2 linked regions of the Saccharomyces cerevisiae S288C genome follow. The protein of the gene in region 2 purifies or fractionates together with the protein of the main gene of each other region. This does not show direct contact. Each region holds a gene or a part of one and is shown on either strand. Other genes may lie near its edges.

Evidence for each region.
Region 1: the proteins of NAB6 (region 2) and LAF1 purify together in Saccharomyces cerevisiae (affinity purification with mass spectrometry, with the first as the bait; one large-scale study listed by BioGRID). This does not show direct contact.

What each region holds. Positions count from the first base shown.
Region 1 is NC_001145.3:462,991-478,764, forward strand, and holds LAF1 (Laf1p), read right to left. Parts: upstream 9,363-15,774; coding exon 6,858-9,362; downstream 1-6,857. Other genes in the region: YMR099C (glucose-6-phosphate 1-epimerase), read right to left, coding at 944-1,837; MYND-type zinc finger protein MUB1, read left to right, coding at 3,310-5,172; SRT1 (ditrans,polycis-polyprenyl diphosphate synthase), read right to left, coding at 5,455-6,486; YMR103C (uncharacterized protein), read right to left, coding at 9,912-10,274; putative protein kinase YPK2, read right to left, coding at 10,430-12,463; phosphoglucomutase PGM2, read right to left, coding at 12,907-14,616; YMR105W-A (uncharacterized protein), read left to right, coding at 15,074-15,268; ATP-dependent DNA helicase YKU80, read right to left, coding at 15,311-15,774.
Region 2 is NC_001145.3:29,436-46,313, forward strand, and holds NAB6 (Nab6p), read left to right. Parts: upstream 1-4,807; coding exon 4,808-8,212; downstream 8,213-16,878. Other genes in the region: NADH-ubiquinone reductase (H(+)-translocating) NDI1, read right to left, coding at 1-372; YML119W (uncharacterized protein), read left to right, coding at 1,176-2,249; NGL3 (3'-5' poly(A) RNA exonuclease), read left to right, coding at 2,899-4,416; ATR1 (borate transporter), read left to right, coding at 8,761-10,389; VAN1 (Van1p), read right to left, coding at 10,752-12,359; TAF8 (Taf8p), read right to left, coding at 12,608-14,140; DAT1 (Dat1p), read left to right, coding at 14,610-15,356; CTK3 (Ctk3p), read left to right, coding at 15,628-16,518. UniProt on the Saccharomyces cerevisiae protein: RNA-binding protein that associates with mRNAs encoding cell wall proteins.

The sequences.
Region 1 (15,774 bases), 440 kb from region 2:
AATCCCATATAATATAACGTTCTTCTATTTGTTTCGTACAGTTCGCTGATTGGTATTATTACATCAGGAATATTGTATGTTCGCTTCGTTAAAGTTTGATCGCTGTTTCCTATATGCGGCGTCTAATATATAGATGATGAGAATTTGACAAATAATGAGAATTGTTAGGATCCAATTATACTTAACAGCTATAATAATAGTACACAAAATATACTAAAAGTTCTCCTCGAGGATATAGGAACCCTCAAATGGAATCCATATTTCTACATAATAGTATTACGATTATTCTTCACTCTGTTTTACATGTTTCATTATCCTATTACATTATCAATCCTTGCATTTCAGCATCCTCTAACTTCGATGACAGCTTCTCATACCTTATGCCATCATCTAACACCGTATATCATAATATACTGGTAGTGTGACTACTAGTTGATAGACGATAGTTGATTTTTGATTTTTATTCCAACAGTCCTGATGATAAGTTACTGTCAAAGACATAATTATTATCAAAATATATGGTATTAGATGGACTGGTAAAAGTACAAAACTTCAGAAATTTGTCCGTGATAGTTTAATGGTCAGAATGGGCGCTTGTCGCGTGCCAGATCGGGGTTCAATTCCCCGTCGCGGAGATTTTTTTATCAGACCAGGTGGGTGTTGTTTGATCATCACAAAGTAGAATTCAGTGTCATTTTTAAAAACGTTACTTAATTTTACGATAATATGCTGCCAGAACAAGTTTAACAATACGCTTTTGGCAATTTGTTCTTGCTGCACTTGGAATTAAATAAGAGTCTTAGTAAACAGAATGTTGCTTTAGTTGTTCGTCAACAAAAACAAAGATAAAGGATGGAGGTAATCAAATAGCCCACATTAAGAAAAGTATACAACTGGGAATTTACTTTATAAAAATTACCGTTGCTACATTTTTTTATATTATTTATTGAATAGCTTGATATTTCAATTCTTCTTTGCAAAGTAATTGATAAGCATTCCATTTTTTACCAGGAGCCAAGGAAATAAAATCATGAACATGACCAGGTTCAATACATATCATTTGTTGGTAACCAGTTTTTGGTTCGAAATCGGCCATCCCTTGAGACTTCTCAATCCATGGATTCCAAACAACAGTGTCGGGCAAGTTGTATCTTTTTAGAGTGTGAATTTGAACGCCCTTGTCAACTATTTGAATGGCCCGTTCGGCGCTGACATTCTGATAAATTACATCGGTTTCTTGATTGAAGGTAACGACTGGGTGCTTGTCGACGTAGGATTCCTTCAACAGTTGGTCATAAAGTTTCATGCCAGCTAAATTAGAGACCATTGTTCCTTCAATATCTTCGATACGGAAGTATGTATGGAACAACCAGTTGAACTTTAATTCCTTGGAACTAGATGTGTTTTCTACTTCTATGGCAGTTTTCAAATAATCGGAGCCTAATTCAACAGTCAAAATCAAAAGATAATCCATTGGCCACAATTTGGTCAATTCTGGGTTAGCAATTTCTGGTTTCAAGCCAAATTGTACGGTCGGTGGGTTTTCCTTAGTTTGACCCAAAAACTCCCAAGTAGAATTTCTTGCAAGACCATGTTGAGGTAATTTACTCAAATGTTCATCGGTGCTATTTTTCCCGAATACAGGAAAGACCAAAGGTATACCACCTCTCACAGGTTTGCTACCATCCAATTTAGCAGCAGTAGACAACCACAACTGTTCTTCAGATTTCAATTTCCAAGAATAAACTGTAGCACCGTACTTTAGAATATGAACGCTGGTGGTCTCATCAGCTGGATGAGTCAAAACAACTTCTTTATCAGTTTCTTTGATAGGCATGGCTTTGTGTTTTAATCTTTCTTGGTTCAAGTTTTACCAAAGGCTTATAATGAACCTCAGAATCACCTCTTTATTCATTTCTAGGGACCTACTAAGTTTTCTTTCGGCGTGAAAAATAAAAGGCGCATTGGTGACCCCATTTGCGATACCTTTTTATGGAAAGACAGCTTGAAGAAAGACCTTGTTATCATTGACTGCGTCTAGCGAACGAGGACATCTACACACTATTTCTTCTGCTGCAATGATTGATGCCGTTTAGATGAATGGTCGGGACGTAACTTATGTTTTAAGAAGAAGGCACTTTTCCTGGTGCAATAGATGAATCTCGGTTTCAAGTTAACTATATAAATATGGGGTTGGCATTATATGTCATGCTTTATTATAATTAGGCATATAAAACTACATGGTTATGAAAGGCGCTGGCAGTAAAAGGGTTGTTTGTCAATGGCAAGAATTAATCATTCTCGCATTGAAATATATGTAGATCGAGGTGAACTGTTAGATGGTCCATCAGACATTTATTATTTTGACTTATGTATTTCCCTCTCAATTTTGTTATCAGTAATCGAGTCATGTGTACTTTAAAGTTCATATTCTCACGTTTTTCGCAAGATATTAGCCGCCAATAGCAACTCCGAATAATAAGAGCTATATAAAGGCCGTTGAAGCCCACGGAAAGAGAAAGAAAACTAATAGTTATTACAATATAGACCGTTGGTTTTTTCTTTCCCTCCTGGAGCAGCTGCGTATAGTTACTACCTAAGAAGTGGGCTAGAAGTTGGCTAGAAGTGGGCTACTTAATATATATCTTTGGATACATAGAAAGGAACCAGGAAAAAGGAAAATTATTTAGATGGCTTCCATAAGTTTATGATGGTTCAAACGGCAAAAAGCCTTTTGACTATTTTTCTTGGTTGAACTATCTTCTTATTAGGCCTACTACAACAATGCATCGAGCTAGGATAACAACTAGAATACTTTGGTTATGTATTGTATGGGTGTTCAGTGGCAAAATTTGAGAGTTGGGTTATTGATGGTCGGCCTATACAAACGAAAGACCTAGAGCAGCTCACAAGGAAGAAAGTGCTGGACAAACTTCCCTACCTGAAGAGAAAAATATCCGTTTTTTATATAGTTTCTGTAAGTGTGCACAGTGACTTCCTCATTAGAGCGATATAGATAATTTGAGACTTTATTTATTTTTTATTTTTGTTGGTTCTCATATTCAACCTTCCATTTATCTAAGTTGAACCATTAAACATTCCCTTTTTTACTTTGCTAATTTCATCATACCCATTGATCAACTATAAGTGAAACTTGGGAATCTTCCATTATACAAAGGTGAGGTCCCTATTTGTTGCATTTTTCAATTCATTTCCCTGGGAGTTTTTGTTTGTTTTTGCTATATTAACATATCATAACAGCGTATAGAACGTAATTTGAAATATTCAAAACAAAGAAAAGGTAAAGAAATGAGAGACTCTAATCATCGATCATTAACGTCGAACAAGCCTATAGTAACAATAACATCTACTGTCTATGACCGAAGGGCATTGGATATCAACTCTAGTATTCCGTTAATAAACTCCCTAAACTACTTAACATATCTAACCTCTAATTCATCAAAAGTTAGGGAAACGGTAGCTAACGACGGTGCTCTCGAAAGATTAGTCTCAATATTGAGGAGTTGTCATTTAAGTTTGTTTGAGTTGCTGGATTTGGATTTAGAAAATTTTAATGAGCACGAAAACATAAAGGATCTATGGAAGGAGAAAAGACTAGCACTATGCGCTTGGAAATGGACTTTAACATTTCAGTGCTTAGTATTGACAGGTACTAGAGGGACAGAACAAATTCGTAAAAAAGTGGTAATGTCTGGGGTCTTATCTGTGCTGGTCACAGTATTGGATAACTATTTACTATATCATAAAAATTACGACTTCATCAAAGATCAAACAATGACCTTTGACTTCAAAGGGATAACCACGGAGACAATGTATAAATTCATGAGAAAAGATGAGAATGAAACATATCAGCAGTATATAGAGTTCATTACAGGTCAGGATAAATTGAAGTTGTCAACTGACAAAAATTTTCTAAACGAACGATTAGTGGCACCGTCTATGACAATTCCAACTGATTTTAGTGATATATGGGGCCGGTTTGCAGACCTAGCTAGCAATTTTGAACCTGACCAGGAAAGACACGACGACGACATTGATATTGATAGTGAAGTAGAAAGTGAAAATTTTGATGCACATAAGAATTTCTTTTCGCAACCAGACATTAATAGACCTACAATTTCCACTCCACGTGAATTTTTTCTCGGAAGAATTGTCCCCAAACAAGACGACGTTATATGGTCGCTTCAGTTATTAGCTTTTGTTTCGAAGTATACATATATGAAATCAACCCTTCAAAATGTTGAGCTGGTTGAATCCCTATCGTTCAGAAGTATGGCTTACAAAATTAAACAGAGAATCTCAGAAGAGAATGACTTAGAAGAACAAGAAAGAGACGTAACTGTAAAATTGTCTTCATTATATCCTTATTTATCGAAAAATCCTGAAAACAATTCCAAAGTTAAGGCACTAGATACTAGCAAAATGGATCCATTTTTCAAAGAATTAGAAGAACTCTCAAACAGATGTCAACAAGAAGAACAAAATGAAATATGTAATAACCACTGTCCCGTTCTTAATTTGTTTGAGCGCTACCGTGTACCGAAACCTAGCGACGACAATGCCTATGGCAAAGACAAGGAAAGAATTAATTTAAGGAAGAAAATATCTGATAACTTTGAAAGGCGCTGGAGCTACGATAAAATGAAAAAGGAATTAACAAATATTGTTTACAAAAACAAGGTACTAACAAATGTTGTAAACATCTTCCCCTTAGTCGAAAAATATACAGTGAGCGCAGAAAATACACATGATGTTATATATTGGAGTTCTGTCATCATGAGAAATTCATGTCGAAAAAATGAGATCTTAGGTGTGCGTCAGTGTGCCAATTTTTCGTGCGGAAAATGGGAAGATTTTCCAAGACAATTTGCAAAATGTCGTCGATGCAAAAGAACGAAATATTGCTCACGAAAGTGTCAATTAAAAGCATGGGGATATCATAGGTATTGGTGTCACGAAGTTGGATCAAGTCATATGAGATCCACGAATACTACCACAGGTGTCAATACCCCAAATGAGCCTAGTTCTTTAAATGCCACCGCTACTACAGCAGCTGATGTTTCGAATTCTACCAGTACGTTCACTCCTAATATATCCACCACCGTACCTGATGAAATAAGCAATAGGGATGAAAATAGCATACCTGAGTAAAGTACAAGGGGATTTCGATGACCTAGGTTTAACAAGATCATGAAATATTCATTAACGGAGTTTTTTGTTTTCGCTTTTTTTATTTTTTGTTCCTAATTTTTTTTTTTTTTACATTTTATTAGCTATACACTTGGCGCAAGGATATTTTATATACCGGATATAATAGATAATTAAAAGACTACTAATTAAAAATGATGTAATATGGTAATAGGTATGGAAGAATCAGGGAGTTTTCAGAATGTTCTTTGCCCTCTCTTGGGCTTTCTAGTTTTGCACTTTTACTTATTCATCTCCTGTAACCGAAACTGAAATGGGGGGGTTTGGAAAGTTGTACAAAGACATAGCTGTTTTCTTTTTTTTAAATATTGAAGGAACGCTTTCATGTATTTTTTCAAACAATGAGTGATTCTTCTCATTATATTTTTGAATGGTGGAAAAGAAGGACCATTTGAGAATCATCAGGTACATAGCAAAGAAGCTAAAATTTGGCCACAACGTATCACTAAATTCAATGGTGGCATTTTCATGTACTTGCCATAGCATATAGTCTGAGAGCCTCCTATGCCCACTTGTTCTGATTAATAATTCACATTTATTGGAATGGAAACCCATGTACATTTTATTAGTAAATTTTCTTATATTAATCCTTGGTGATTTATTTTCCAAATGGTCTTCAACTGAATCACGAATAGTATGTAACATATCATTTCTTGAAGTGTAAGGAAAACATATAAATAAAGTGAAATCGTCTCCATCCTGTGTGATTTCTTCCACTTTTTTAATTTTTTTTCTCATTTCTGGAGATAGTAAAGATTGATCACCTACTATTCTTATTTTAGATCCGTATAAGGGATCCTTATAGTCCTTGGCTCTTTTTGCGAATTCATCAAGCTTTACCGTAAACAAATTCATTAGCGTATCTACTTCTTCTTTTGGTCTATTAAAATTTTCAATAGAAAATGCATAGGCGGAAACACATTTTACACCCAATCTTTTGCAGATATACAGTAGTGTTAGTAACGTTAACCCACCAGCTTCATGGCCTTTTTTTACTGGTAGCCTTCTTGACTTGGCATATCTCCGGTTACCATCCATGATAAAGGAGACATGTTCAGGCACTGGCCCTACCCTTAATGCTTTTATCAAAATATTCTGAAGATTTACATAAAACCATGAAAACAAGCTTAATGACATAACCCACGCAAATACTCTCTGAAATATACTTTTCACTGCGAAGCACATCTGTTCTTTGGTTTCTACCAAAAGCCTTTTTAGGGCTACAAACTGAATCTGAATAATACTGGGCATTTTCATTATGGTCAACAGAAACGTCCTATGTTTGAAAGGCAGCCTGTTCTTTATAAGTTGATAAATTGAGAAAAGTGCACCAAATCTTAATCTACTCTGTGTGTATTTTTAGGTCCCTTAAATAACAGAAAAAGTATAGCTTTAGCCGCCGAGGTCCACTCAGTTTGGAGTAGTTACCCTTAACAGGCACTCACTCCGTTTTGTTCTTTCGAAGAGATACGTTATAGTATATCGGCAACAAATGATAGGCTCATTGTTAGCGTTCATTAATTATTAGATTAAAATTTATTTAAGTGTATCGTGTTTCTTTACTTTATGTACGAAGATTAATATGCATTTAAAGGTATCATCCACGGAAAAAAAATACTCCATCAGCGTTAGCGGAAGTTATTAACTACTGTACCGCAGTCTACGCAATAATAGTTTCTATCTTGTTGGTCATTAGCACCAGAAAAAGCCTCAAACCTTGAACCGTTACAAACATTGCAACGGATAGGTAAATTCATTGCGCTCGTTGGAGTGGTAGGCCCATGTGCATTGGAGAAAATAGATGACATGCTTTCCCTTGGTGTTCTTGGCTGTGCATTACTGCCGAGTGTTTTTAGTGATGTACTGCTTTTGGGACATATATTAGAGTATCCACGTCCCGTTGCATAGCCTTTTCCAGTATTAGTATACGCCGCTGCCGGTTGGCCAGCCAAGTTTGATTTCGCTCTCGAGTTGAAGCTTCGACTCAAAGAATGCAAAGAATCAGAACTGTTAAACCTTCTCCGAACCTCTCTATTGTATTCTTCTAGTTTGAGTAACACGCGCTTTCTTATAACAGAGGGCATATCTGCTCTAAACACACGAATAGTCCCTACGTTATCAGTACTGATCAATATCGTTCCAATTGCGTCAACGACATCTGGGATAGCACTGGTGGCGGAAGCATTAGAAATTGAGCCTGGTTTAGAATTGTAGCCCAAAGACGACTCTACATCTGACATTATGCCATCGTCGTTACTCCGACTCAAAACATCGAAACTATCGGATGTCTGAAAAAACTCTAGAGATAGCTCGCAGATAACATCGTTAGACAAAGATAATGTTTTCGAAGTTTCTGGCGGTGCAATGCTAACACAAGTAACAGGGGCATTGTGTGCATGAAAAGAAATGTAATCCGTATTTTTGATATAATGATCGTTGCTATGATGAGGCAAGGGAAGTAAGTTAGTAAGTTTTAAATGATGATGTGGTTTTTCTTCGTTATTCTGGCTGGAAGACCTACTCATTGATTTACTAAATATGCTTCTCAAACTTCCGGACCGAGCCAATCCCTTTGGTTTCCTTTTAGGTTCGTCTTGATCATTCTCTCTATCCGAAGACTTTAACCTCCAGCCGTAAACCCAATGGTCATCACTACTATTTACAACGATTGGCTGACCATGCCAGATGGACAATTGTGCCTTGTGTTGGGAAGATCCGCTATGGAAGCCTTTCAATACCTCTAGAAGCTTCCTCTGTTCTAAGTCAAAAATTCTTATCCTCGAATCATTCGATGTAACTACTAAGCGGAAAGAATTGTCCAGTTGAGATCTAAAAGCTTGCAAACCCGTCACACGTGGACCATGACGAATTTTTGAGTCAGTTTCCGTGACCATGACGTGAGCGTTTTGTTCTTGTGTTTGTCTATCAGCTACGTGAAATGAAGAAACTGGAGTGAGACCTCTGGTCATCAGAATATGAACGTATCCATTAAATGTTCCTATTATAGTGTATTTTCCCTCCTCAGGGGATAATGTAACAGATGTTATTAAGTCTTGACAATCGTACTCAAAGCTAACTTCATCATCCAGTATAGACCATAACCTGCATTTGTGATCCAGACAGCCGCTAATGAAAAATCTATCGTCGGTGGGGTGAAATTCCACACAAGTGACAAAATCAGGATGTATGAATGTCTTAAGTGAATTTTTCCTATCGGGATGCCATAGTTTTACTGTCTTATCCATCGATGCTGACAAAATAAAATTATTTTTAGACCAATTTATATCCAGAACATCTTGCACGTGTTCTTTATACAGTCGCAAAGGCGTTGGGTGAAAGACAGGCGCATACAAATTCAATAATTTTTCCTTCTCTTCGTATTTCTCTGTAGCAGAATCCAAAAATTGTTTTTCTTTTGGATTGTTCAATGAACTGACCTGCTGTTTGATCCGCATCGACTTGGCTCGTGCCTCTTTATTTGATTCCGCACTCGAGTCCAATTCGGCTCTTTCAACTGGAGAGCCAATAACTTTCCATATTCTTATTTTACCATCTTTGCTACCAGTGGCCATAAATTTTCCATCGCGGCTAAACTTTGTACTCCATATAGCTTTAGAGGTTGGTTCAGATGATTTGGAAGTGGAGGTAACCGTTTCACCTTCGTAGGCCATTAGTTCTTGCGCGAGAAACAATCTTCTAAATTGTTTCAGGTTTTTCCGACGTTTCAACATTTTAATGTATTTTGGCTCTCTCAAATAGTTTTCAAATTGCTCTGTATCAATGGAATTGAAAGGGTAAAACTCATTGACCCTAAGATTCGAATTTAAAGTATTGCCTCTCTGTAAATGTTCCTTTAGTCTCATAAATGAATCAGTGGCGTTGCCGTTGTTACTATATTTTAATTTGTCATTTGTATTATTAGTTTTTGTCATTCTGAACTTCAATGGCTCGATATCTGCAGAATATTCAAGATTTAGTTTGCTTTTACTTTTACTTTCACCGGAACTGGACTCGCCGTCGAAGCTCTCTTGATGCGACCGACTCTCCTCTTCAGATCCAGTGGTATTCGAGGAATTGCTGAATTCAGAATGTACCTTGCTTATACTTGTTTTATCCTCCGCCATATTCGTCATATTTCTAATTCTCGTACTATATTATACGCCACTACCGTATACAATATGCCAAGAGCTCAGCAACTGCTTTCTATTCTTTTTCTTTGATTGTCTTTGTTCCTCTTTTCCCTCTTTCTTTTCCTCCTCTGTTTAACAAGTTGGAGAGAGTTGCAGTCTTGTTCCCTATACGGTCCAGCTGTGACTTGTACGAACGCGTATTGTATCCCAGGAAGAAATAATGATGTAACTCGCTTACGAAGCTTAAGAAAGGGCAAAAAAAATGTGTCCCCCCTAACTGCGAAAGTGAAAAAAAAAAAAATTAATGCGTTGAATTTACACAGTTCTATGTATAATTAACTGCTACGATAGAAACTGGACAGTAGTAAGAAAGATTGGACTAGGCATCACCCAGACTTTACTTTTTCGGCATACATATCTATTTATATATAGTTTAATACGTAAATACAAATATATATATACTGTAAATTTTAATCATTAAGCTTTTCTTTTTTTTTTGTTCACGCTTTCACCCTGTGAGGCGAATGAGGTTAGCTTTTTCCCTTTACGGGACTAGGTAAGGCTCCCCATGGCTGAGCCCGCGCAAGGAAATCCAGGATCATCCGCGGAAGAAATAAGCTGCTCCCGGCCCAGACTATGTAAGAAAAGTGGCAACAAACAGAAAAGCGAATCTTTCCTTTCAGGCAATGCAAGGGTCCTTTGCCGTTTGGCGAATTCCGGTAACCTCGACTTGCGCCCCGCGGGCTTCGCTTTGACATCCGCGGGTATAAGCGTCCGTCCTTCGGCCGACAACAGGTCGGTCTTTGATCTCAATTCCGTAGATGGAAGAATTCTGATAATGCTGTAAAAGAAATGAATAAGCAACATAAGTCGTGTGAGAGTTGCTAAAAGAAGAGCGCAGCCTCTGCGGACCATTCTATTTTCTGTAGTTCTTCTTGTCCCCGTTAACCACAATAGTAACGGAGTGCGTATCGCAATCTACTTGAACTATCCATTTTTGAAAATTGCAACCTCTTGCGGCTATAGCTATAAATTCCGTCCGGCTCGGCTCGGCTTGCTTCGGCTTGCTTCTAACTAATGCTTCTCCCCTGCGAAGGAGAATCACCCAACTGTTCGTCACCAATGTACGTCCACCCACCAAACTGCTTTTGAATACTTGCACTTAAGTACTCGTCCACTACACTATCGATCGGTTTTTCCTTAGTGAACTCTTGATCAAAATTTGCAGTATCTATTTCACTCTTTACAATTGGCTTGTAAGGCGGAATATAGCCCTTCAAAAGTAGCTTTTTCCATGAGATGTCTTTAAAGAAAGGATGGTTACGAATTTCATCTGTACCGTTAACGCCGAGTCTTCTGCTTGGGTCTCTGCTTAAGAGGCCAATTAATAGGTCTTTTGCCGCAGGGTCAAATCCATCAGGAAATAGTAGCGGTTGCTGCAGAATTTTCTTGTACATAACAGGAACGTTCTCATCATAGTATGGTGGCAGCCCTGTCATCATCTCATACAGTAAGATACCTAATGTCCACCAGTCAACTGTTTTAGTATAGCCCTGCCCCAACAAGATTTCTGGTGCCAAATATTCGGGAGTACCACAGAAAGTGTCTGTTTTGTCATTATCCTTCATGTTCAGCTTGCAAAGCCCAAAATCACACAGTGCAATATGTCCTTGGTAATCCAATAGAATGTTTTCAGGCTTTAGGTCACGATAAATGACGTCAAGTTTGTGTAATGAATCGAGAGCACATAATAGTTCTGCAATATAAAAACGGGAGCGTGCTAGACTGAATCGTCCCTCGTGTTGTAAATGGTAGAACAGTTCACCGCCATTAATGAAAGCTAATACTAGGTACAACTTCTCCGGAGATTGGAATGAGAACTTCAACGGAACAATAAAGGGGCAGTCAACTCTTGCTAGGACAGTCCTCTCCGCTAAAGTATGTGTCACTTCACATTTCGATACAATATATGCTTTTCTCAGAGCCTTCAAAGCGTAAATCTTTTGGGTATCTTTTTTCCTTACTTGCATCACTTTGCCGAACGAACCCTTCCCGATAACCTTCAATAGATCAAAGTCATCAATGGAGAGAGGCTTGTTCTTAGAAGGTTTGTAGTCCACCGTGATATTTAATTTACCATATCCCCTTTCTAAAGAAATCCAATGGTGATTGTATAGTCTTATTTGGGCTGCAGAATCGATTTTTAAATTCAAAGGTAAATGGAAGGAGTCCAAATGGATATCCTGATTTGTATTGATTTTTTTTAAAATCTCCTTCAGTACTTCGTCCTGCTCGCCAATCTCCTGTTGCCAGTTTTTAGAGGGTAAAAGTAGGGATGGAATCCTTGCAAAGACATCGATTTTTAAAAATCGTAATTTTCTTGTTACATCAAATGTCGATATTTTGTTAAACACTGGTTGCTCCATCGTTCCCATATCTGGACTAATAGTAGTAATAGAATTATCAAATTCAATTGTAAAATAAAGTAATGGGCTTGAATTTGTTGACCCAGGTAACAATATAGAGGAAGGAATGAATTTAGTGGCAAAAGCTCTATCTATCAAGCCTTCCCCTGCTGAATCTTGATCCACTCTCTTGTATCGTGGTAGCTGCCGCATTATGGCTGCAACTTCGGAAGCGTCATTGGATGATGAAGTAAGGATGCCGGAACTTAGTAGTTTTTGTAAAATAGTAGAGTTAGAGGTGATAGGGAAGGGAAGAGTAAAATCTTTACCAGAATACACCTTCACTGTCATTAGTCCGGATTCCGAACTCGGTCCCTGCGTCTCAGTAGACGACTGACTAGCTTTCCTTTCGGAAGCCTTAGAATTGTCATTTCCTATCCCCGATGGATTCTTGAAGGATGCATCATTACGTAATTTTGGAGAACTTAAGGAACTTGGGAGAGTCTCATTTGTATTGATCTTTCTTATATGGTGTTCGTGTTCATGATTATGATTCTTCGGGCTACCATCGTGATGTTTTTCTCCATGGTGGAAATGAAACAGGCCATTACCCCACGATTTTTCATTTTCATCTTCACTACTCCCATCATCTTCTTTGGACCTTCCTAACTTAAACTTGGATATTCGCCAGGAATGCATGTTACTATATGTATATTTGTATACGCGATAATTTGACCCAGTTGAACAATTCTGGTTTAGGAGCACTTTGGCTGAATTTTATCATTTTATTTATAAATCTAAGGATGACGGCCATTTTACAGATTTCTCGAGGGAAATATAATAAAAAACTCGGGGTAGGTAATCTGAATTCGGGGATACGCTAATTTGGGAAAAATTCGTGAATTAGATATAATTAGAAACAGCACTTATGAAGAAGATACTGCGATTAACCAAAATATTCTCCTCCTTATGAAAAAAAAAAAAAAAAGACTCAGAAACCTATGCAATCGTTTGCTAATATGTCGAAATATGGATCTATTAAGTATATAAAGTATGTGTTCAAAAAATTGAAATTTTCTTCTTTACCGTTAATATTCATTGAAAAAGGTGAAAATCATTAAGCCATTAGTAAATCATTCGTTTTAAGTACGAACCGTTGGTTCTTCAGTTCCTAAAACTTGTTTAAAGTTCAAGAACTTGATGACCGAGTTAATAATTGGCTTCAAGTATTCTTCAGCTGTCTTTTGGTATTGTGATTTATCATCGCAGTATTTTTCAATGTACAATCTAATGGTAGCACCTGAAGAACCTGTACCTGACAATCTTAGAACGAATCTTGCACCATTGGAAAGCTTGACATATAAACCTTGATGGTCAGAAACAGAACCGTCCAAATCTGTGTATGAAAAATCACCACAATCGGTGACCTTAAGAGACTCATCGGCTGGGAAGGCGGAATTAACAACACCCGATTTGGTAACATATGCTCTCAATTGATCGACAATCTTGTTAGCTTTTTCTGTTTCAACTTTTTCAAAATCATAACGAGTGAAGAAAGTACGGCCGTACTTTGCCCAGAATTCATTCTGTATCGTCTTAATAGAAGCTTCGTTCTCCGGATGATGCTTGTTGTAAATGGCCAAGATGTTCAACCACGCCATAATGGCCCAAACACCGTCCTTTTCCCTTACGTGGTTGGAACCAGTACCAAACGATTCTTCACCACAAATAGATAATTTTTTAGCGTCGAACAAAGCACAGAAAAATTTCCAGCCAGTTGGGACCTCATAACAGTTTAGACCATGGGCCTTGGCAACACGGTCTATGGCTCCTGAGGTAGGGAATGAACGGGCCAGACCATATATACCTTGCTTGGCGAAATATGGGATTTCAGCTGCATATTCGGCAATAATTGCGACGGAGTCACCTGGAGAAACGAAAGATGGGCCGTAACCGTAAATCATATTTCTATCACCATCACCATCGGATGCAGCACCAAACTCAATCTTTTCACGATCTACTCTTTTCACTAACGAACTGGCATAAGTTAAGTTTGGATCTGGATGCATACCACCAAAATCCGGAGAAGGATGCCAGTTTTGTAAAACCTCATCCGCCGGTAAACCAAATTCATCAACGAAAATAGCCTTACCGTATGGTCCAGTTACACCGTTCATACTGTCAAACAGTAACTTCCAATTCTTAGTAGAACGTTGATTATCGATGAATTTCTTGATTAAGTCGAAATCGAAGATTTCCTTCAAGAAGTTGACATAATCTTTTGTAATATCGATAATGTCAACGAGTAATGGACCGTATTTCTTGTTCTTGCCTATCGTACCCAAGTCTAGTTCTGGGAAGTCTTTGATAATCTTATAGCTGGTAAGCTTTTTGGAAATCTCCCAAATAGCATTTGTGACGGATTCAGGAGCAGGACCCCCATTGGATAAGTTATACTTAATACCCATGTCATTTTCTGGACCACCTGGATTATGTGAGGCGGTTAAGATAATACCACCAGTACATTTTTCCTCGTAGGTTCTCATGATGTGAGAAGCGGCTGGCGTAGACAGAAGACCATGCTGGCCAATAACTAACTTTTTAATACCGTTGGCAGCACCGATAGCGGCAATCTTATGAAGAATGACATCATTGTAGTAACGCCCATCACCACCGACAACAAGAGTGGCACCTTTAGAACCCTCTGGAATAGCTTCCATGATCGATTGAATGAAATTTTCTGTGTAGTTAGGTTCGTCTTTAAACACCTTTGTCTTCTTACGCAAACCAGAGGTACCAGGCTTTTGGTCTTCATATGGTTTGGTGGGAACCGTTTCAATTTGAAATGACATGTTATGTTAACTTTTGTTACTTTTTTTACTGAGAAAGATTGGTTGATCTTCTTCTTATTATCCTATTGTTCAAGCAACGCTGAAGAAAGACATGGAACACTATCTTCGAAAATGAAACAATATTAACGGTACCTTTTTATATTTCCCACATTGTTCGGGCGGCAGTCATCCAGATTCTGAAAGAATCAACTATTTCTTTTACACTTTTCAACCCCTGTTTGTTCCTGGAACTGCACATAACAAAAGTATAACGTCCCCTTTCACGTAAGTTCCCCACGAAAAAAGTAGTGCGCGACACCACCCCTTTTCGTGAGCTCCGCGCTTCTCTTCACCGAGCCTAAGTTGGGCCTCTCCCCCCTAGAAAGAACAAGTTGGCCCTGTTGTCCTTAGCTCGCAAGCTCAGGGGCAGCAGCGTGTGTTGAGATTAGAGAACCGCTCGACCTCAACGGATGATAGTATGATTTTAGTACATACAGGGAACGTCCTCTACCCACGTTTTATTGTTGTTGCATTTACTTTTGAACAGCGACAGGGGGGAAGGTGTAAAGGAGGAAAAGCAACCTGCATGGCTAGTGTTCAAAGTTACAAGGTAACAATGCAAATCAGTAGTATGACAATTATTTACCCGCTATTTATTTTTTTTTCTCTTTAACTGTGGTGACGAAAACATAACTCAAAGGATGTTAGACCTTTTTTAATTATTGCTATTGTTTGGACTTCCCCTACTGTGTTGTTCACCGCGCTTCAATAGCGTTTCTAGGTCCGGGATCTTTTCCCTCTCAAGCTCAGTTTTTAGTTCGGAGTCGAGTTTTAATTTGTCTACTTTCTTGATGCCGAGCACTTCAACCAATTTTGTGCTATCAAATTTCTTGTGCGTGTAAGGACTTATTTTGTTTTTCAATGAGTCAGGAAGCTCTGGGATTTCAAATTCCCTGGAATCATTGATCATCAGTTGGTGAATCCATTCCAGTAGCACCTGTTGTTGCCTGTAGACAAAAACCGTGGGTATTCTAAGAGGATCCTTTTTGTTTTCCTCTTGGTCTTTATTTAAAGAGGGAAGTGGGAGAGTGGTGTCTGTTGTTACTTCGCCTATGGGTTGATAGTAGTTGCCTAACGGAATCTCTGGTAGCTCATCTGTATCCATTGAATCTACAAATT
Region 2 (16,878 bases):
GTAGGTAACGTTCCCCTTTTTCTTGAGAGCAAAATTAACGATGGGCTCAATAATTGACTTTTCGTCTACTGTCCCAACTGGTGCAGAAGGTAACAAAGGCGTAAATAAGAAATAGCTTCTAGGAGAGATGATGGAAACGTTGTACTTCTTGGTGTCAATGTGCTTTAAAAACGAAATAGCTCCCCACCCCGAACCCAGTATCAGCACGTTTGGTTTGTCGCTGTGCTGAGGGTCAATGACTTTCATGGTCTTAAAAGATGTAGGACCTGCTCCGGAGTTTTCCACCCCTGTGGATCTGGTGGAAGCGAATCTGACTAGCGTATTCGTCGAGGTGAGCAACCTCTTGTTACTATACAAATTCTTCGATAGCATAGTGGTTTTTAGTTTCTTCTCTTGGGTAAACGTGTAATTCGATGATGTGATGAAACTGACACCCTACCTGAAACTCCTCAATTGGTAGTTAAAACTCCTTCCCCACTATGCCCTATACATCTTATATATACCCTGTCGACGTTGCAAATACCGGCAATAACCAAGAGCGCTAAGGGGGAGCACTCTTATTGTGGTTACCCGGACGTTCAATGCCTTCATATGATTGGTCCGAATGAATAGGTCATGAGAAAATGCATATTTTTGAGGCATTTCAGCAATGATCGGCAATCTGCACATATTCGTATTGTTTCCCTGAGTAAGTTATTTGCGGAAAGAGACATTCTATTGCTTTGGAGTATTTTGTGGTCTTCGACAATAAAGCGAAGGAATAATAGGTTCGTTGCTAGCGACAAGCAACACATAGTTGTAGTGATGCTATAGCAAAGAAAGGTCACAGATTCATTATTGACCTTTTAAATGGTGCCCAGTGGCAATTGCCGTTTTAGCATTCTTTAAATGCGTAGTATATGAGTTTTAAAGTGCTTTGTTGTTCACGTGCTTTTCACGTGTATGATTACTTAACCGGGTAGCGCCGGTCTTTAATATGCTTTCCAGATTAGGAAAGAACATAAATAAAAACACAAAATAAGAAAGTGTCAATCATCCGCATTGAAAGAAAGAAAAGATTTTTTTATCCCTCAATTGTACATGAAAACAGAGACCTTTCAAAACGTATTTTAACATTCTTTTACTCTTTTCTTGCACCTGCAGCCTTAGGTCAGTAAGAAAAAAAGTAGGTAGCAATGAGCCCAAGTCCATCAGTGTCGCCAAGAAGGACGCTCAATAACAAATCATCTTACATCAATAACAGCGGTGGGCTGGTCCTGCCTCCTACGCAGTTTAATTTGAATCAGCAGCCAGTCCTGAGCTTCCAACAAAAAGCGACTTTCGATTCCAACCAGCAGTTTTTCTATTATCCAGAGTCACCCACAAAAAACCTGAGACCAAGGTTTAACAGTATTTCGCAGGTTAATAAAGGAGTTAATGAAGACCATTATACCGGGGGCGGTAGCAGTAATAATAACAGGCCATCTAGATATACAAATACCATGGGCGCTGCAAACACCAATGTAAATTCCCATCCGCATCATCAGTCGGTGTCGCATTTAAATTCTAAATCTCTTAAATTCAATCAAACGAAGGAAGTGAGCAGCATAAATGAAATTATTTTTCCTTCCAGAACGTGTACAAAGAAACGGTATTTTACCAAGCCAATTGATTTGTATGGTACAAGAAGTAGCACTAGTGTGGCACCTAAGTTGACGAATTCTCCCACGAAATCAAAAACAAATTTCAACATCAAGAAGTGCATCTTACCTAGGTCCGTCGTTACCACATATAAATTACCATCTCCAGTGCACGAAACGATAGACGATATATCCAAAAAAATCATAATCCTGCTAATTTCGTTGAAGTTTGAGAAAAACTATCACTTCTTGCAACCTATTCAATTGTCCACAAATAGTAAGACACGGATCTCAAAATCACTAGACGAATTATGCGGAGTGCAGCTGACATCAACGTTACGGCAACAAAAGCAGCTGCAAGGTAACAGCAAGCCCGTAAAGAATCTCCCTAATTCCAATGCGAAGCAGAGAGCCGGGGCCAGTGTTTCCACAAATGCCAACGAAAGCTTTGAATTGAGTTTTGATGGAAAGGCAATGGATAGATCTGATATATTTCGAATGGTAGATTCTTTTAGCATCGCCATTTCAGATGAAGATGAGGAAGATGAGGAGGAGGATAGCTTTCAGCAGAGAAGTGCGAACAACAGAATCCTCCCTGCGGAGATACTAAGTAATGAACCTTTGAAATGATACGGATTCTCTGTATTCTGTCTATAGTATTTATATACCAATACATTTTTCCGCACTTTGAAGTTTTGCATTTTACTTAATGTAGTTTATTATTAGTTGCCAAAACGAAACATTTAACATGTGAATTAAAAATACAAAAAAAAGCCTATTAACGATCTAAATTTATGACAAAAGACATATAATTATTTTAATGATGCCTTTGTCACAACCGAACACAATATCTTTGAAAAGTGATCCAGCAATCGAATTCAGAATTCGTTGTGCCATTTTTGCCTTACGTTTGCGCCATTGTAATTTCTCTGTGCCGTCTTCTCTTCACTTTATTTCAATATTATCATGCAGTAAACAAGTTGCAGAATAATAAATAATATACGTACCAAATATGTGAACAACTCAGATACTATTCATTTGATATGTTAAAAGTCCTGCATTCCTCTCCCGACATTATATATAAAATGCTCAGCCACCCCTTCGTTGCACAGAAAAAAAGGATGACCTATAATACCAATATTCAATCACAATAGTTATACCAAACTAACACATGGTTGAAGCAGACTACTTACTATCGTGGAGTTAGCTCACTGAAAATTTAATATTTACAGCATTAAACAGTTTTTTCTTTTGTTTTGTCTCCTACATTAATTTCAATATGGATAGCCAAGTAGAAGGCAAAATATCCCCCTCACAGAAGGAGTCCTCCTCCACCTCAGGCCTCGTTTCACCTAGTGAAGATGGCCCAGCACATCAAAAAATACACAGAGACCAATTAAGTGTGGATCAAATCAAGAAAATCAGAGAAGAACGTGCTCAGAAGAGACAGGTACGTAGGAACTCTCTAATATCCCAAGGGAAGGACCCTGACTTCCCAACGCCTGACTTACAATTCATTGAAAGACCATTCCTCCCTATCAACCATGATAATTCGAAAGGTCTTACGCCAGCGACCATACAAGTCACCCAAGATTCATTGGACGTTAAAATAATGACCTATAATACTCTAGCACAAACCTTGATTAGGAGAGATTTTTTCCCAGAAAGTGGACCAGCGTTAAAGTGGCATAAGAGATCAAAAGTTTTGGTCCACGAATTGAAAAAGTACAGGCCTGATGTAGTATCGTTGCAGGAGGTCGATTACAATGAACTCAACTTCTGGCAGGAGAATTTCCATAAGTTAGGGTTTGATGTGATTTTCAAAAGGCATGAAGGGAAAACTCATGGACTACTAGTTGCATGGAACAATAAAAAATTCCAGTTAGATAATGATTGGATGCTGGACTACGATAATATATTGGCGGGAAATGTCATTTCAGCAAGAACAAGAACTAAAAATATTGCCCTTATTATATCGCTATATTTCAAGGGTATAACAGATTCATCATCAAGAGGAATTATCGTCGCAAATACACACCTATTTTGGCATCCCTTTGGGGTATTTGAAAGATTAAGGCAATCTTACTTGGTTTTACAAAAGATCCAGGAAATTAAAGCATGTTCCAAATATAATGGCTGGCATAGCCTACTGATGGGTGATTTCAATACCGAACCTGAAGAGCCACCGTACTTGGCCATAACGAAAAGACCACTGATATTAAAAGGCCCAATAAGAGCTATGGTGGAATGCTCACTAGCGTATCGGTATTCAAAAAAAAGGAATGGAGAAGAAAGTGACCAGGATGATGAAGAGTGTGATGAAAAGTCTAGGGGCGAAGGCCATTCAGATCAACCACAAAACCCAAAACCAGAGAGCTTTACAGCCACAAAGGAAGAAAAGGCTCTGGTAAATCAATTAGTTGCGTTGCATAATTCACTACATGTGAAAGGCGTATCTTTGTATGGGATTGGCTACGGTAAAGTGCATCCTGAAAATGCTAACGGAAGCCACGGCGAACCGGGACTCTCAAACTGGGCCAATACATGGTGTGGATTATTAGACTACATATTTTATATCGAGGGTGATCATAATCAGGACACGCGTCAGAAAGAGCCTCTGAATGCTTTTGAAGGAAATAACAACGTAAAAATAATCGGATATCTGAGGATGCCGTGCGCACAAGAAATGCCCAAACACTCCCAACCTTTCGAGGGAGAATATGCTAGTGATCACATTTCCCTAATGTGCCAAATACGCTTGTTTTTTGGGGGGGAGAAAGTGCATAGCTTAAAATAAAGAAACAATATATATAAACAACCTACATTTGTGTTTGAAAGACAGTAATCAACGCTTCGATGGTCACTGGGATTTTTCTTTCAATTTAGCGTCACTTTCACCTTATTCACAGCTTTTACGTGCTATTTTTGGTCACCCTTCCCCTTTCGTTGCGCCTCAACGGGCTAAAAAAAAAAAAATAAAATCAAGCATAGAAACACCACAACAAACCTGCCCTTTTTCCTTGTTTCAGGTTACGTGAAAAGCATCCAGAGAAGATATCCCAAAGACTGAAGAGGTGTAGTTGGCTCATTCACGTCGTTCGTTTATATTATCAAGGAAGGGGTTTTTGATCGGCTCGAACAAGACTCGCAAGAATCCGTTTTCTATTGTTTTTTTTGAGGATTCCAATATGTCAAATTCCAATTCAAAAAAACCTGTTGCGAATTACGCATACCGTCAACAGCAAGATTATAATGGGATGAACGCCATGGTGGGAAATCCAATGATGTATCATCCTGTTGATTTCGTAAACGGTGCCGGCCAATATGGTCCTTCTCAACACCCAGCATATTACACCAACTCACCATTACCTAATATTCCACCAACACCTTTTGATACTGCATACGGTGCCAGTCTTTTTCCATCTCACCTATTGATGGGATCTCCATTTGTTTCCTCGCCTAACATGCAAAGTGGCTATAATTCTGCAAGATCATCTAATCTCAAAAGAAAGGCTTATTCGAGGCCCGTTTCTAATCATAACGGTTACAACGGAAACAGTAACAGTAACCAAAACAATACTAATAACGGAATGGTAACACCCTCGAACTATTATAGAATGGGGAGAAATTCTTTCTCGAGGAACAACAACAGTACGAGGAATGTTACTCACAACAACAATAAGGGGTGCGACACCCGGAACAACAGTGGAAGAAGAACATTCGCAAGGAATAACATTTTCGACGACATACTTCCAGAAATGCTTTTACAAAGACCCTTTTGTATTAATTACAAGGTTCTACCGACTGGTGATGATGCTTATAGAACTAGGTCGCTGCTTATTGAAAATGTGGATCATTCTATTGATTTACACTCTATAGTCAAAAATTTTGTCAAATCCAATACTCTGGAAAGTGCCTACTTAATTGAAGGAGGGAAGAGCGATGATTCAAAAGATGTAGAGACTAAAAATCTATCCATTCTAATAAGCTTTCTAACCAAAGGCGACTGTTTGAACTTTTACAATAACATTTTACAAAGGTTATCTGAATTCAAAACATTTTTGAAATCTGAAGCACTAAATCTGAAATTTGTTTGTCTAAACTATGATCCCAAATGCCTCCCTACCTTTATTGAGAGTGAAGCGTTAACAGAAAACGCTGAAGAAGCCGACATTACCAATGGTTCAACAATGATCAGTGCTTCGCTGCATCATAATATAGCGAACAAAGATGCTACAAGGTCGATTATAATTGAATTCAAAAGCCCCGTGGAGAAAAGCGATTTATTCAAAAAGAAATTACAATTTTTGGACAGGTCAAAAAACAAAAGATACATTTTGGAATCTATCGATTTAGTGAACACAGATGTACCTTCCAATCAATTTCCTGAAAATTACGCCGTTTTAACCTTTTTGAATATCTCTATGGCTATTGAAGTTCTCGATTATTTGAAAAAATACTCCAAAAACTTAGGCATTTCTAAATGTTTTTACGTATCCCTAGCCCCGTTGGTAGTTAGCTCAGCCAGATCTTCGGTTGCTAATATTTACGAGGGTAAAACGAGCACACATCGTTTATCGGTGCCTTCTGTTACTGCTGGGAACAATAACGATAGCAACAACAACGGAAACAATAATAAAAGTAATATGAGTGGTATCACCACACTCAATAATAATAGTAGTATTGGTGTTTCCGTATACGGTCACTCTAATATGAGTTTAACCAGTCTGTCATCATCTGTATCTTTAAATGAAGAGATTGATATGCTTGCGACGAAACTTCAAGGGGTAGAACTTGATGGGACTTATTTAGAAATCAACTATCGCGACTATCAAACACCAACTATTGAAGAACACTCTACTCACTTGAGCAATGTCAAAATTTCAAAGACAACAGAAAACTCTAGGCAATTTTCTCAAGATATCCCATCACCTTTGCCATTAAATGAACATATGTTTATGAATGATTCTAATCAGTCCAATGGAGCGATAATACCTCAACAGTTAATAGCCACACCTTCTCCGGTATCCCCCAATTTGCAAATGAATCAAAGGGTGTTGCCGAATCCAATAACTCAAAGTTTGGAGCAAAATTTCAACGTTTCGGCCAAAGTGGCATCATCCATGGGTTCAGACATAGGCAATAGAACAATTTATATAGGAAACATTAATCCAAGATCAAAGGCGGAGGATATCTGTAATGTCGTGCGTGGAGGAATCCTTCAGAGCATTAAGTACATACCGGAGAAGAAGATATGCTTTGTTACTTTCATCGAAGCTCCATCCGCTGTACAGTTCTATGCAAATTCATTTATTGATCCAATAGTGTTACATGGGAATATGTTGAGAGTTGGATGGGGGCATTATTCTGGTCCATTACCGAAATTAATCTCGTTGGCTGTTACGATCGGGGCAAGTAGGAATGTCTACGTAAGCCTACCAGAGTTTGCATTTAAGGAAAAGTTTATTCACGACCCTCAGTACAAAAAATTGCATGAAACACTATCTTTACCAGATGCGGAACAACTAAGAGAGGACTTTAGTACCTATGGTGATATTGAGCAGATTAACTATTTGAGTGATAGCCATTGCTGTTGGATAAATTTCATGAATATATCTTCTGCGATTAGTCTTGTTGAAGAAATGAATAAGGAATCCACAGTACAAAATGAATCCGGTGAAGTGACGCTTAAAAGGGCGACTGAGGAAAAATTCGGTGGCCGTTATAAGGGCCTTCTGATAAACTACGGCAAAGATCGTTGTGGCAATATAAACAAAAATTTGATAGCAGGTAAAAATTCAAGATTCTATAAGAAAGTTAAAAGACCGAGCTATAATATACGTTTGAGTAAGTTGGAAGAAAAGAGGAGGCAGAATGAAATCGATGAAAAGGAAAAGGCTTTTGATAAACCCTTGAACTTGGAATCCCTAGGAATTAGTCTGGACGCACATAAGGACAACGGCGGTGGTGAAACAGGAACTGCAAATAATACTGGGCATGAAAATGAAAGTGAACTAGAGGCTGAAAATGAAAACGGTAATGAGACTGGAAGTTTCGGTGGACTGGGTCTCGCTGTGGCGAGCTCTGACGTCAAACGTGCGACATCGGATGAAACTGATTATGAAGATATATTTAACAAGTCATCGGGATCTTCCGACTCGTCATCAGACGTCGAGGTCATTATGCACTCCCCGAGCGATCCTGAATACGCTTTAAAATCACAAACTCTAAGAAGCTCGAGTCAGACCGTCATTAATAGTAAGAGACCAGTAAAGATAGAAGACGAGGAAGAAGCCGTAGGAATGTCACAGCTCAATTATAGGTCGTCATTAAGACAAGCTCCTCCAAGAGCTCCCTCAACTTTGTCATATAATCACTCGAAGAACAACGAAACGCCAATGCAAGATATTTTCACAAATGGCGAAACAGCAAATAACAGAAAGAAGAAGAGAGGATCTTTTGCAAGGCATAGAACGATACCAGGATCTGACGTCATGGCCCAATACCTTGCACAAGTGCAACATTCGACATTTATGTATGCAGCCAATATTTTGGGCGCCTCTGCGGAAGACAACACGCATCCTGACGAGTAGTATAGCTGTGCTGAGCCTGAAGTATAATGCATATCCATCGGACTATTTAGACAAAGCCCAAGGAAGCCTAAGGCGGCCTGCCAAGGTGTTTCTCCCTTTTTTTCTCCGATTTCTTTGTATAAACTAAATAATATAGTGATTACTAATGGAATGGCGGTATTATGCACCTAACCTGTTCATTCTGCCACAGATTACGTAAGCGATTTATTGCCGGCACTTGTTGTCTTAATGACCGAGTCACCAATGTGGAACGATAATTTTCTCTGACTCAAACCTGTTAATTTTTTTCTACTTCGTTTCGTTAGCGACGACGTCAAGCCGCAGGATCCTGTCTGCCTTGACCTCTTCTCTACCTTCAGAACTTACACTTTTCAGGTAAGATGACCTTTATATAAAAGTTGACACTATTACAGTTGTTTATAAACGTCTGAAGAATGAGACGTTTTTATAAAATGAATAAAATGCATATTCTAAGTTTAAAACAACATTTTCAAAGTGTACGATTGTAAAAAGAGAGGCAATTAGAGAATCTCAAACAGGTAATAATAATGGGCAATCAGTCATTAGTTGTGCTTACGGAAAGTAAGGGTGAGTATGAGAATGAGACAGAACTACCTGTTAAAAAATCGTCACGAGATAATAATATCGGAGAATCTTTAACAGCAACAGCTTTTACGCAGTCTGAAGATGAAATGGTAGATAGCAATCAGAAATGGCAGAACCCAAACTATTTTAAATATGCATGGCAAGAATATCTTTTTATATTCACATGCATGATAAGTCAGCTTCTAAATCAAGCAGGCACTACACAGACTCTTTCGATCATGAATATTCTTTCGGACAGTTTTGGCTCAGAAGGAAACTCAAAGTCATGGCTGATGGCATCTTTTCCGCTAGTTTCAGGCTCATTTATTTTGATTAGTGGCAGACTAGGTGACATATACGGATTAAAAAAAATGTTGTTAGTAGGATATGTTCTGGTTATTATATGGTCTTTGATTTGTGGGATTACCAAGTATTCTGGTAGCGATACTTTTTTTATTATTAGTAGAGCCTTCCAAGGGCTAGGGATTGCATTTGTTTTACCTAATGTGCTGGGAATAATTGGTAATATATATGTAGGTGGTACTTTTCGTAAAAACATCGTGATTAGTTTTGTTGGTGCGATGGCCCCTATTGGAGCAACTTTAGGTTGTCTTTTTGCAGGACTGATCGGTACCGAGGACCCAAAACAATGGCCATGGGCATTCTACGCGTATAGCATAGCCGCTTTCATTAATTTTGTGCTCTCCATATATGCCATTCCGAGTACTATACCAACAAATATTCATCATTTTTCTATGGATTGGATTGGTTCTGTTTTGGGCGTGATAGGTCTCATTTTATTAAATTTTGTGTGGAACCAAGCTCCTATATCGGGTTGGAACCAGGCTTACATCATCGTAATTTTAATCATTTCTGTGATTTTTCTTGTCGTTTTCATCATTTATGAGATTCGATTTGCCAAGACTCCACTATTGCCGCGCGCAGTTATAAAGGATCGTCATATGATTCAAATTATGCTGGCTTTATTCTTTGGATGGGGCTCTTTTGGCATCTTTACGTTTTATTATTTCCAATTTCAATTAAATATAAGGCAGTACACGGCATTATGGGCTGGTGGAACTTACTTTATGTTTTTAATTTGGGGTATTATTGCCGCCTTACTGGTAGGATTTACTATCAAGAATGTGTCTCCATCAGTGTTTTTGTTCTTTTCTATGGTAGCATTCAATGTGGGCTCAATAATGGCAAGTGTTACACCGGTTCACGAGACATACTTTCGTACTCAGTTAGGAACGATGATAATTTTAAGTTTTGGGATGGATCTTTCATTTCCTGCTTCTTCCATTATCTTTAGTGATAATTTACCGATGGAGTACCAAGGCATGGCTGGGTCATTGGTGAATACTGTTGTCAATTACTCCATGTCCTTGTGTCTCGGTATGGGTGCCACAGTAGAGACACAGGTCAATTCAGACGGAAAGCATCTTTTGAAAGGCTATAGAGGTGCTCAGTACCTTGGGATAGGATTGGCAAGTTTAGCATGCATGATTAGCGGGCTTTACATGGTCGAAAGCTTCATAAAAGGCCGCAGGGCAAGAGCTGCTGCAGAATACGATTGCACTGTGGCTTAGCGGAAAGCGGTTATTAAGGTAAATAGATAGAAATACACCGCTGTCATGCGATTATATAGACATGGGGCATTTAGACACTGAAAGTCTTCATATCTCAACATGCAACTAGTAATAGTACAATTTTTAGTACCCTTTAATCTTTATTGTTCGCTCCCTAATAACGAAGCCTTGAACTGTAACCAGATCCCAGGTTACCCCTTATCCTTAAGAGGTCTTTTATTTACTCTACATAATATATATTTTTCAATCCATTGAAGAGGATTAAAAGAAGAAAAATCAATACCGAACAAAAAAACAAAACGAAATAAAACAAAACAAAAAATTAAATTAAATTAAATTAATATTAAATGTCATCATGATTCTTACTCTGATTGTCTTCTCTTCTCTCTTTCCCTTGACGCAATTTCCTTCAAATCGTCATCGCTCGGTTCATAAATATGCCAAATAGTATAATGCGGTAAACCACCAACCCTGTACCCCATTTTCTTTGCCATTTTACCAAATGCTTCTGTTTCTGCATGATTTTCAAAAGTAAATGCAGGAAACTGTACCCCGTTTCTAAATATTTTGGCCTTCGCCAAAATAGAAACTCCCCCTACACCGTCCAAGTCCACCGCTTCATTTGGATCACCTTCTGCATCTCTGATATAGGCTAAGTGAACTCTCCACGTAGGATATTCTGCATAGCCTTCTACAATAACATCATCTTCGTCAAGAGTCTTTGCCAATGCTAGTGCCTCCTGAGATTCCATCCAAGAATTCAAATCATATGGTTGTTCAGTTCCCAAAAATGTAGGTAGTGGTCTCCAAACGTTAGGGACGATAACATCGTAGTTTTTGCTCATCAAATCTTGAATGACTGAACCAGGGCACAGCTCTACATCAGCATCTCTCCAATAAACCCATGAGTGGTAAGGTTTCAAAGCATTGGCAGTTAACCAATTTCTTGCCCTCCCCATTAGTTTTCGTCTTATACCTTGAACCTTAACGGCATGTCTGTCACTAAAACCTTGTCCAATTACTTGGCCAAAATCCTTTTGGAAAATTTGTACTGATCTAAATGGCTTGTCATAATTTTCATGGAATGGTGGTGAAAATGCCTGGTGGACACGGTTGATATAACCTTCGTCCATATATTTAAGATATAATTTATCGGTGCCTTTTGTTTGCGAATCAATGACAGCGTCAATCTCTTGAAAAATCTGAGACAACGTGCCATTTTGTAAGTGCCTAGAATACGCTATTAAAGCATCCAACGTAGTGTCACCTTCTGAGCAATCACTGACTAAAAAGGCCAGATCAATCAGCTCGTGTGGATAGGTTAGGTTCATTAAATGCTTGAACATTAATGGCAATACATCCGCAGCGTTTCTTAGTGGAATGCATAAAAGAATGTGATCACGTGTTTCCAATCCATTCGGAGCACCTTCAAAATTCGACAGGTCGTACTCCTCAACAGTGGAATCAAAAAGCATGTTGAGTTCCCTTTGGTATTTTTCATCATCCTTGGGAGTCAACACTTCTGAACCAAATTGTGATATTAGATAATGTTGCACACCATCATCAAATTTTGAAATCACTTCAGGATCGATATCCTCAAAATCATAGTCGTAATATTCTTCATCTTCTAGGTCGATAGTCTTGTAATTTTCGGAGGATTTTGAGGAACCCAACAACGACCTACCATTTTGCGTGGATACACCAATGCCCATTCCGGAGAGAAATGATATAAAGAGATATAACGACAGAACGGCGATAATAATAAGAGATGTGATACTCACCGTAAGCTGGAATTTAGACGGTGTGGAGCGCGGCTGGTACCTGTATTTGCCCTTTAATGAGTTGGAGTTATGCTCTGAGCGTTTGTCCTTGATGTTGTTCGAGCTACCGTTCCTTGAAATGGGCAGGCTTAGTCCATTGTCCATGGCTTTCTTCTTTATATTTGACCTTAAATTAAAAAACATGCCCATTTTTTTGTGTTAATTGGTAGGTCAACAAGCTCAAATGACTGTTACTGCACCCTTACGTCTACTTCTTTCACGTTACCATTTACTAATTTACAAGACGTAAACTTTCTTTGATTCTAAATATTTCAAGCCTTGTTTCGGTATAGTCGCCGAAGAACGAAAAAAAAAAAAAAAAAAAATTCCTCTCCGGAGATAAATTGAATACGTATTATTATATTAGGGACAAACACTGGTTCACTGAAAGCAGTTGTTTACATAGTTATATCGTGATCTGTGGCTATATCTGCAGGAGGAGATGTCGGGGCGTTTTCATTAGGCGTCGAATGAGGAGAGTGACTTGTAGTAGCATCGATATTGGTTGTGTTATGTGCTACAGGTGTAGTATTTGTAGTATCTTGCGCTGTCATTGTTGGCGGTTCCGATTCCGCGACCAGGTTCTCCGCAGGCATACTCGACATTTCATTCTCATCTTCACTGCTCCCTAAGATGCCAAATAAGTTTATGTCATCGTCCTCATCCTCGGCGTTTGTGTTGATAACTATGGTAGAGTTGTTTAATGCATTAGGGGTGGTCGTGTCGTCTGCAGCGTCCCTTGCGTGCTCGTTATTTAGTAGAAGCTCAAGATCATGGCCTTCATCTTGTTCCCTCTTTGTTCGTTGTGAAATAAGCTCTTCTTGCCGACGTTTTAGCGATTTTGCTCTTTCTTCCTTGGCCATTCGTATTTTTTCCTTCTTCAACTTCTGGACCTTAGGTAAATTGTGCATGAATAGTGTCATAGACTTACGAAATTGCAATTCTATGGTTTTTTGTATGGTTTTGTGAGACTGGTGAGGACTCTCTGGAAGGTAGAGAGTTTCAGAAATTTTCAAGAATGGATTTTTTGTTCTTTTCAACTGATTCACTTCAAATTTCGTGACACGTTCTCTCGCCAATTCCACTCTATACTTCGCATACTGCTCGATATTGTTTTCATTGAAGGACTTTTCAGTTATGGTTGGTTTCCTTTCTTCCAGCGCGTTGCCCCAAATCTCCAATTGTTGCTCGATAGCGTCCTCATCGTCTAAACCCGGCGGTTGCGGGGTATTTGACGCTGATGATATGTGGGAGAGACTTTTGTTCAAGTTCAATAGTGCCTTTTCAGACTCTTGGCTTTCTTTTACTATTTCTTTCTTGATGGTTTTTAGATCAGTAATTGGATGGTTGAACTCAGGTGTAAACTTATAGGTATGGTCAGGCGGAAAGTTGGGCAGCCAACTCGGTATCTGTTTTTCCAGTGGGTTAGAGGGAGGCAGCAAAACGTTGATCTCGTTCTGTTGCTCCTCGATATTATTCAATTCGTCCTCTTCATCTTCTTCGTTATGCGGTAAAGCAGCAAGAGACGACCAGCTCATCAATTTTTCATATTCCGTGGAATGCTTCGATTTGATGAATTCTGAGGCCTGAAACTGCTGATAAAGGGAGGGCGCATCCAGGTTAAACTCTCGAAGCAACAATTTCAAATCTGCTTGAGAAGCTTGCGACCTTCTTTGTAAAAGTGTTAAATTGTGCAGGTTCCGAAACATGCCGTCCATTTGGACGGTCACGAGGTTGACCAGCTCATCCAATGCAAAGTTTGAAATGCAGATGTTCAACGAATTCAACTGGAAAAGTACTGTTTTCTTTAGAATTTCAACTACGGGAGCATCTATTTCCAAGTGACTAATTTCCGTCAAATCCGGTAGGTTCCTCAGCTGAACTATGGTACTTTGGGTACCGGTACCACTTTCTGACGTTTTGGAAGTCATTGCCCTTTATGAGTCCCTCAATTACACGTTTGTTTGCTTGCTTGCCTCTCTCTCCATTGCTTTTACTCTCTTTTTTAAAGAGTTCAAGATTTTCTACATAAAAGCATCGGGTAACACTCCCATATACACCATTTGTGCTTAAGCTGGCTTCTACCAGTCGCGTTTCAAGCGACTTTATTGATCGCATCAGCGTAGAACAAGAACAGAACTATGTATGCAAACAGGACTAATCATCTTCAGTTATCTTACTTTAGTTTGCAACTATTTATATCATGTTTTCTTTTCAACTTCTTTTTTTTTTTTTCGTTTATGAAGCCGATGCTAATGCATCAATTTTTTTTTTTTGGTGATGAGTTTTGAAAGAAAATGAAAAAAAAAAAATTTCTATTATTGTCAGTGGAGTTTTTGAACAGATCACCTTGTGAATCTACAAACTGTCCTAAAGTATATTGGAGCAGGACATTGGGTGATGGCGAAAACTTTGGCACAAGGAAGGAAACCTGGAAGCGGCAGAAAGCCCGGAAAAGGGAAGACGTTGAGAGAGGGAAGAAAGCCTGGCAGTGGTAGGAGGAGGAGGCAAGATACTGGGGGTAAAGAGACCGACGGGTCTCAGCAAGATCAGGAGTCGCGTCTTATTAGTTCCAGGGACATGGAAGCTGTGGACGCACTGAGAGAGTTGACGCACAGCCCGTCGTCTCACTCAGCTCATAATTCATCAGCAGCACCACCGCCGCATGCAGCAGCGGCGTCAACTTCATTGCCTCCATCTCTGGATTATACCCATCAGTCATTCATGGATCAACAACAACAACAGCAGCAGCAGCAGCAGCAACAACTACTACAGCAACAGAGAGTGGACGTCGTTCCGCCCAAGCCGTTCATCACCCACAAGATCCTGTTATCTTCAACGGGAAACTCTGGCGGCCACGTGAATTCAAATTACAACGCCGACCACAGCATTAATCATAATTCAAACCACAACCTTAACAGCAACGTGAACGTGAACATGAACTTTACTATAAATGGGAGCAATCAAGACCCGTCATCTTCTTTCCTGATGGGGCCCTACAACTACTTACAGCGGCCTTTCATTGTGAAACCATATCTTGATCTGTCCACAAGCACAGCAGCATCAAATCAGCCACGGACGCAACCATCGCCGGCAGCACATATCACTAAGAATTCCGATTCTACAGAGAAAAACGCAACCATATGACATTCATTTCCAGCATACCACTAAAACATTCGTATATGCCACATAATAACTAGTTGAGAAAACCATAGATATTTATATTTATATGTATTTGTACTTCTTTGAGCAATGTATATTTAAGACTGATCTCAACTTCAGCAACTGTTCAAATTCACTGTTTTTCCTAATTAAGCACAACATGAAAAACTAGAATTTTAGAAAGAAAAGGAAAAAGAATACCAGATGGTAGTTAATTTCTCACAAAAGCACTGCCAGGTAAAGGTATACAGCAAGGATGGACTCTCTTGAAGCTAGATTACAATTCATTCAGGTCCTGAAGAACCTGCAAAAGACGCTGCACAAGACCAGAGACTCTATCACATCATCGTCGACCACCACACCACCGTCATCGCAACAAAAGCTGAACAATGACCCTATACAGTTCTACTTGAGAAACTACAGACATCACTACGAGGACTTCCACCAATGTTTGTTCGATACAACCATGAAGATGGACCCACTAGATAGACTGGACGTAGTGATATACTATGTTAGAATAATAAGAAACTTATATCCGCATAGCCATTCCAATACCAATGTTACAAAAGTGTTAAACGAAGTGCTACTCATGGACATAGACTTGGTTTTTGAGCTTTGTCTGCCCTGCCAGGACTGGAAATCCCTCACGAATCAAGCCACCTGTAAAGAGCTATTCCTTGACTTATCCAAACTAATCCATTACGACGCCACCAGCGTCACGCACACACCATCAGACACCACACTCATAGACGCTACTACCTGGTACAGTGTCAAGACAGAGAGGACTACAAAGGACTATAAAGAATCATTGCAACGAACGGAGTCTCTGCTTAAGGACAGAGACTTGAAGAAATTGGCTTTCTTTCAGCAGTTCAATTCCGATACAACTGCGATCAACCCGGACTTACAGACGCAGCCAACCAATGCAAACATTTTGTTGCACAGGATGGAAGCAGACAGGGAACTGCACAAGAGGTCGAAAGAGACAAGTTGGTACATCGAAAGGCCCTCCAACGATATACTGGATGAATCCGAATTTAAAAGCTTGTGGACGCATTTTGAAACTACTGATTCCGGATTTGATAAGGACGATTACAAAAATATCAAGGCTTTAAATGACATTGCGAAGGCATCTTACATATATTAGTACCATGACGTTATATATATATCTGTGAAGAGAATCCGTATCTGTATTATATATACGTATATACGTATCAATGCGCGTACAAAATGAACTTGTCTTTTTCTTATCTCGATTTCAGGAAAAGCAAACTATTCAAGGTGAAACGGCGGCTAATTTTCCTCTAAGTTACTTTTATTGTAGTCCTCAACATGTGCAGACGAATAAACTTAACACGGTTTGCAGAGTGTGTTGTTGAGTATAAAACAGTCAATTTCTGTGGACCTGGCCGTAGCCTATTGCTGAAAACACACAAAAGAGGAGTTTGACGAGACTTAAAACAAGCCAAGGAAAATACCATGTTAGACTACTCCCTTCATTCGATGG